2 linked regions of the Mus musculus genome follow. The protein of the gene in region 2 purifies or fractionates together with the protein of the main gene of each other region. This does not show direct contact. Links are inferred from orthologs where the notes say so. Each region holds a gene or a part of one and is shown on either strand. Other genes may lie near its edges.

Region 1 (3,954 bases), on a different chromosome or scaffold from region 2:
GGAGCATCCATGCCAGAGAGGGATTAGACATCAGGGTGTTTTTGGTGTTGTTAATAGTAACGATACCAACAATGATTTATTGGACGCCAGGAAAGCACTGGTTTCCAAGCAAGTCTGCCTGCCAGAGCTGCTGCATCTTGTTTGCAAACAAAGATTTCACATTAAACTCCTTTAAAGAGATTTGTTCATATGGCTTTAAAAAAAAACAAAAAAACAAACAAACAAAAAAAAAAAACCAAAACCCTGGACTTTGCAAATGCAAAATTTCCAATTCAAAACTGCACATATTCATTCATATTTGTGGAGAAAATTTCCTTTCTGATTGTGAAAAAAAAATCTCCAAACTTAAAAAACCAAAACCAAAACAACAAAAAAACCCTTACTAGAAAAATCCCGAGTTTACAATGTCCTTGTCCAAGTGGCGTTTTCAACACGATATCTTGAAACATGGCCCGTGCTTTATTTAACAGAAAATCTGTCCGTTTTGAGTTTCTAACACAGCAGGCCACACTTTCTGCCTTTCTCTCCTGGAAATGAAAGCTACAGGAGACAGGTCTGTAACAAAGCTCCAACAAAAAAGGCAAAAGTTAGCAAGTGCCGGGGAAGGTTGACAGAGGCAGTGCAGTGCTGAGCAGAATTCCAGAGTGCTTCATCTCAGTCGACTTTTTCTCAGCCTACTTATCCTGCGTGTATTTTTAAGTCACAAAAGTAAGAATGATTTTTTTTTTCTTCTGGTTGTAGCTTCCAAAACTCGTCTGTAGAAAGAAGAGCGTCTTGCTTTTCAGAATTGTGTTTAAAGAGCAAGACAGGCTACCCTTAGGTCAAAGTAAGGTTAAAAGGAAGTCTAGGGGGAAACGACAGCCCAAATGTAGAGCCAGAGGGCTGTTAACTCCCTCAGGATTTGTTTTCTGTGTCTGAGGACTGGAGAGATGTTAAATACTGTAATGTGATTGTCTCTTGTTTCTTCTCTCTTCCTCTCAGGCACCGAATGGTCTCCCAGCTGTGAGCAGTTTCGTCTCAGCATCCAGCATGGCTCCTTACCCTACACCAGCCCAAGTGTCACCCTACATGACCTACAGTGCTGCTCCTTCTGGTTATGTGGCTGGACATGGGTGGCAACATGCCGGCAGCACCCCACTGTCCCCCCACAACTGTGACATTCCCGCATCGCTGGCTTTCAAGGGAATGCAGGCAGCCAGGGAAGGCAGCCATTCTGTGACCGCTTCTGCACTCTGATGGGAGCGTCCACTCCGGCAGCCCCACTTCCGGTCTTCCCTCCTAGCACATCCTCCCTCTCGTCACACCCCACCCCTCCAGTGGTCCAGCTTTACTGCCTCAAGAGCTGGCTTCATGGATTCATAATCTTTGTGCTGATGACACTTAAATATTTTTTTTTTTTGCTGTAACTTCCCTTTTCCAGGAAACCTGGCATAACTTTAGGATTTAAAAACAAAAGCAACTCTAAAGGTGGAATGAGGCATTTGTGTTGCCCGCACACTGTTTTAACACAGAGAAGAAACCTATCCCCCTCAAAGGGCTTATGGAACATTGTAGGTCTGTCTTTGGTAAAACCACACCTGTATATTTATTCTAAATCAACCTGAACTTTCGAAACGTGCAATTGTTGAGATTTTGCAAAATCAATAAAGGAAAACAGATGTAGAAAAAAAAAAAATTAAGTGGTATGCTCTAATCAAATAAGGTGACCAAAAAAGCTTTAATTCACCATTAGGAAACTAATCAAAAACTGACTTGTGTGATCTTTTGTTTCTTTTTAAGAGATGATGTATTTTGCTGAGAAATATGTATAGAACTCAAGCAATATTGGAATTTTGTGCCTTTGGTTGTTTTGACTTGGTTCCTAATACAGTAATGTTTGTATTTCTATGACCTTGTAAATATGGATGTGGATGTCTTCGTTCCACGGGGTACCCCTCCACCAACACCAACACCTCTCTTTTATCTTTCTTCCTTTGCAAAGGTGACTTGCTGGTGATGTATTTCTCTGTTTGGTGGTGGGCCACTTGGGCTCCTGGACCTGGACTTGCCCCAGGTCGTGTGTATTCAGTAGAGGCTTCAGCATCTCATGAAGGATACTTTTTTTTTTCCTATAGCAGAGGACTCAAAACATAGATAAAACAAATCAGGTTTTAGTTTGTATCCCAGTCAAACAACACATATGTCAAGCACAGGACAACAAAAAGGCTGTAACATACCTGTACTGCAATCCTCTAACAGAAGTCACTAGGAACACATCTAATGTGAAATGGGTTTTTGTCTTTTTTTTTTTCTTTCTTTCTTGCAACAACACTTAAAATGAACTTTATGTGCTAGAAAACCACTGTGAAATGAAATTGTACTGTTGTTGTTGGCTTACCTGTGTGTTCAGCAATCTCAGCCCCACATTTGTCTGATAACTTAAAAGGAGATGGAGAACTCTTCTCTAATGAATGTAGTAACAATGGCTTGCTGTGAAGTTTACAGTGCGTACTGAAGCATGTTTCGCGAGTAGGTCAATTGGTGTTGGCATCAGAAATACAAATGCTATTTAATTTGTTAGCAAATTCTTTTTTTTTTAAATGGAATTACAGAACAGAGATTAGCTGCTAAACCCTTCTATACCAATTTGATTTTTATGTTAATGTTATGAACAGAGCTATAGGACATGCAATGTGTGTGACCATGTGATTATATGTTTTATTTTATAATAGTTCATTTTCTTGGGCAAGATTCTACAGTCTGCATTCCTTCTGCTGCTTGGCAAAATAGGGTTAAAATTTACTTTTAGAATATTGGCACCATTCATCTATTGAGATATTAATGTACTGTTTTGGTATTAATTCCACTCAATAACTAAACAGGTATGGATTTTTTTTTTTTGTATTTGTTTTTTGTTTTTCGAGACACAGGCTTTCTCTGTGTAGTCATGGCTGTCCTGAAACTCACTCTGTAGACAAGGCTGGCCTCGAACTCAGAAATCTGCCTGCCTCTGCCTCCCGAGTGCTGGGATTAAAGGCATGCGCCACCACTGCCCAACTAGGTGATATGCAGCTGTATTTAAGGAACTAGGTGCCCCCCACATCCCCTCCCCCAGCCCCCCCCCCCCCGAAACAGCGTAGAGAGTTGTCTTATGAAATTTCTTATAGAGAGCTTCATGCTGCATTTCTTTCTAAAGCAACCAACACTCGTTGCTACAAAGAGGATTATAACTTTAGGAGAAGAGTAAGCAGAAGGAGCCAGAGCTGATCAACTCTCAGGGCCATAGAAGCCCTTCGATGTTGTAAAACTCCCCACTGACAATTCGCGTTCCCTCCCGCGTGGTAAGAAGACAGGCTGTAACCAAATGGCATTAAGATCCAATCCAATATTTTGGTGGGGACTGCTATCCAGAGAATCTGACTGAAGGCACAGAATTATTCTATATCTAATAGGTTTTTAGGTGACTATTTGGGATATTGCAAAATAGTAATTGCTTTTATGGAAACATAACTGATAACGTTATTTTCCTTATCTAAGTTAAGAGGTCTTATTGTTATTTATATTTTTCTGGTTTTTGTATTTTAAGAAATTAATATTGACGGTGTCAGAGTTTTCTTTTTCATTCTCGCTCCTCTCTCCAGGTCTCTAATTGATAATGGTAAATCCACAGGGAACAATTTTAAAAGACAATGGAAAACCGTGTTGGCAATTCATAGCCACTTCTGACTGAAGCCACATTAACAACCAAGAACAAGAACACAGTGAGGTAGGGCCGGCTAGATCTGCAAGCCTGTTACTGTTAACACCAGCCTCCTCCAGACACTAGCTCCTCCTCAGAGGGGAACATTTTCTAAGTTGGCACATGCACTCTTCATAATTCCTTTTTTGCCCTGTTGTGTGCCTTTAGCTCTCTTGCAGAGGACTCTAGTGTGTATCACCTTCCAGGACAGAAAACAGCCATGCAACACAGACCCA
Region 2 (3,954 bases):
TTCAGGATATAAGTTTAGAATTTTTTTTAAGTGAAAATCTGCTGATTTGTGAAAGAAAAGTAATAGAGATCTACTGTGGTTTAACCCACTTTGTGGTCTTTACTTCACTGTATAGTTGACAAGAAACTGGTGGTGGTGCTCCCTTCCCCTCCATGAAAAGGGAGGGAGGGACCTGCTGATGTACAGAGTGCAGAGAACTGAGTCTGGAGGGAATGGTGGAGGGCAGGCTCAGCAGCTAAAAGCCCTCACTGTTCCCGAGGAGGGCCAGGCTTGGATCCCAGGACCCGCATAATGACTCAGGAGCATATAACCCCAGACCCAGGGACCCAGAGCTCTCTTCTGACCTCTCTAAGCACCCATACAAACACACACACACACACACACACACACACACACACACACACCATAAAGGAGGGAGAATGGCTGGAGGTAACCCAGCCGCTAAGAGTACTTGTTATTAAAGAGGACTCAGGTTCAGTTACAGCACCCACAGAGCAACTCACAATCATCCTCAAGCCCAGCCCTGTTCTGACCTCAGGGTTTATCAGGCACACAACAGAGTAGGCTCAGATACACACGCACACACATACATGCAGGCAAAACACACACATATAGAAGAGAGAAAAAAATAATGATAAGTGCCAGGGACACTAAATTTTGATTAGAACTAGGAAATGTTAAGCCAACATTTCACCAACATTTTAGTATTATACTGCATTTCAAAGAATCCATTTTAACAAAATACATAAAGTTGCTATTATATTCTTAAGATTTTTAAATTTATTCATTTATCTATTTATTTTGGTTTTCAAGACAGGGTTACTCTGTAGCCCTGGCTGTCCTGTAACTCACCCTGTAGGCCAGACTACCTGCCTCTGCCTCCTGAGTGCTGGGTTTAAAGGTGCGTGCTACCACATCCGGCTTGATTTATTTATTTTTATGTGTATGGTGTTTTGCCTACATATATCTCTATACACCATATGTATGTAGTGGCTGGGGAGGACAGAGGAAGCACTATACACCCTCTGACTGACTGTAGTTATAGATAGTTATGAGCCACCACGTGAATGACTGGAATTGAACCCCGGTCTTCTGAAAGAGCAAACAGTACTCTTAACCTCTGAGCCAACTTTCCAGCTCTATTTTGGTTTTCTGGGTCGCCCCCCCCCCCAATTTGTTTTTTGTTTTTTTGTTTTTTGTTAGGGTTTCTCTGTATAGCCCTAGCTGTCCTGGAACTCACTCTGTAGACCAGGCTGGCCTCAAACTCAGAAATCTGCCTGCCTCTGCCTCCCAAGTGGTAGGATTAAAGGTGTGCGCCACCACGGCCCTGCTTTCTATTTGTTTTTGTTTTTTTTTAAAGAAGTTTAGTTTGTTCCTTTCTTTCTTTTCACTACAGGGGGTGGGGCGTCAAAGTGGGGAAATGTGAGCCATGGTGTACATATGGAGGTCAGAGGTGAACTGGTTCAGATGTCACATGGGTTCCAGGAACCTAATCCAAGATCATTGGGCCCGAGAGGCATGTATACTGAGCCACCTCGCTGGCCCCAAAACCATCTTGTATAACCTATATACCCAGGCTTCACTGAGATGTTGAGGCCATCTGCCTCATCCATCTTGGCTAGAACCTTCTGCCAAGGACCTGGATGTAAGATTAAGCAGGAAATTAGGCTGTTTCAAAACGTTGGCTGCAACAAAATCCAACTAGACTTTGCAGCTTGAGTACCACTTTCTGCATTACTTACTTTTCTTCTTATTGATCTTTGCTTCCAAGGCTTCATTCACATTTAAGGCCCATTCATTGTAAGACTCTGCTCGAAGCTTTAATGCATTCATCATTGGATAGAGATCATCCAGAGTGTATCTATACCTGGACACAGAACACAAACAGCAATGAGACGGGCCAGTGGAAAAAACTGGACGTTATATCCTCAACATTCAGAGACCTATAATAACTAAAGACTCAGTGTGGGCTGGGAAGACGGCTCAATTGGTAGAGCAATTTACTTACAAGAACAAGAACCTGAGTTTCAATCCCCAAAACCTATGTGTGGTGGTGATCTAATTAGGAAGGGCCCCCATAGGCTCAAATATTTGAGTGCTTAATCATCATGGAGTGGTGTGACTTGAGAGGGAATCAGAGGTGAATCCTTGATGAAAGTGTGTCAGTGGGACTGGACTTTGGTGTTTCAATTGCTCAAGAAAGGCCCAGTGTCTCTCTCTTCCTTCTGCCTTTGGATATATAACCACATTCACACATAAATATGATCACACACGTGCATACATGTGCACTCAAGCCAGGGCATCAAAAAGACACTTATGCACATGCACACTCAAAATAAATGATTGGATGCTTTCCCAAAGGAAAAAAACTCATCCTTACTTACCGCAGGTTATACTTATACGGGGGGCAAGAACACAATTCTTTCACATGATGTAGGCAAACAAGTAGGCCAGGTTTACAAGAGCAGGAGATGGCAGACATGAAGCATGTAGTTTTGCATTTTATACACTGCCGCTCATCATCTGGCAACAGCTCAAAATCCATTCTTTCAGAATCAATTACTCCCTAAAACAAAATCTATATTAGAGGATTTGAAAGGATAATACAATCTAAAAGACCCAAGAAAATATGTACTATTTAGAACTATATAACCGGGCTGGAGAGATGGCTCAGCAGATAAGAGCACTTACTGCTCTTCCAGAGGTCCTGAGTTCAATTCTCAGCAACTATATGGTTGCTGACAACCATCTGTAATGTGATGCCCTCTTCTAGCGTATCTGAAGACAGAAACAGTATACTCACATACATGAAAAAAAAAAAGAACTAAATAATCTAAAAATAATAATAGCACATTATTCTACTTGTCCAAGGAGAATCCTTCTTTGGATGAGGCAGGTCCTCAAGTCTAACCACTTATTTCTATTTGAGCATTAATAAAATTGTTGATAAATGAATACTGCTGAAGTTAGCAACCTTACACCAAACTTACCTTACAGAAAGATTGGGGCACAGAGAGGAAGAGCTAAAGACACATGCTTTCTATCACAAAGGAAAAGTAAAAACACTGGCACACTTGCCTACAATGCACAGAGAGAGCCCTGGATTTGATCCCTAGCATCTTCAAGACACATACATAGAGGCACTTGAAAGATGACTCTAGGATTAAGAAGAATGAACACAGCTCTTGCAGATGACCTTAGCTCACAGCCACCTGTACCTGTCGCTGCCACCAGAGATCTAAGGCCTTCTACCAACACACATACTTTACAAACAAAGTAAAAATGGGAAAGGGAGGGAGGGAGGAAGGGGACAAAGGAAGAGAGGGAGAGAGGGAGGGAAGGAAGGTTGGTTGGTTTTACATTAATATTTTAATAATTTCTGACAATTACACGTTAAATCAACAATGACAAGACAAAGTAAAAAATGCTAATGAACAGATTTTTCATTTTAATCATGATCACTGAAAAGGACTTCTGTGGTCTGGAAAGAGTTGAGGTTAAAGAAGACCAAATACCAACTCTGAATTTGCTGAGAATGGAAAACATATAGTTTATACACAATTTTAACTTGTAAATTCCACATTCCACAGGTCAAGAATAGTTTTTCAAGTTGCAGAAATTAGCTACCATTATTATTGAGAATTTTGCACCAATGTATTTTATCTTTTTTTTTTTTTTCTTTTTTGGTTTTTCGAGACAGGGTTTCTCTGTGTAGCCCTGGCTGTCCTGGAACTCACTCTGTAGACCAGGCTGGCCTCGAACTCAGAAATCCGCCTCTCTTTGACTCCCAAGTGCTGGGATTAAAGGCGTGCACCACCACACCTGGCTACCAGTGTATTTTAATTACATCTACCCCTACTACAACCTCCTCCCAACATACCTTTCCAAGGTTTATGTCCATTGTTTGTTTTGTTTTTAGTCACTCCCACATGCCCAAGAGTGTGGGGCCATGAG

Evidence for each region.
Region 1: the proteins of Kdm5b (region 2) and Pax9 purify together in Homo sapiens (affinity purification with western blotting, with the first as the bait; 3 studies listed by BioGRID). This does not show direct contact. The link is inferred for Mus musculus from reciprocal best matches to the Homo sapiens genes KDM5B and PAX9.

What each region holds. Positions count from the first base shown.
Region 1 is NC_000078.6:56,708,672-56,712,625, forward strand, and holds part of Pax9 (paired box protein Pax-9), read left to right. Parts: intron 1-981; coding exon 982-1,236; 3' UTR 1,237-3,954. UniProt on the Homo sapiens protein: Transcription factor required for normal development of thymus, parathyroid glands, ultimobranchial bodies, teeth, skeletal elements of skull and larynx as well as distal limbs.
Region 2 is NC_000067.6:134,611,800-134,615,753, reverse strand, and holds part of Kdm5b (lysine-specific demethylase 5B), read right to left. Parts: intron 2,567-3,954; coding exon 2,385-2,566; intron 1,868-2,384; coding exon 1,743-1,867; intron 1-1,742. UniProt on the Homo sapiens protein: Histone demethylase that demethylates 'Lys-4' of histone H3, thereby playing a central role in histone code. Does not demethylate histone H3 'Lys-9' or H3 'Lys-27'. Demethylates trimethylated, dimethylated and monomethylated H3 'Lys-4'.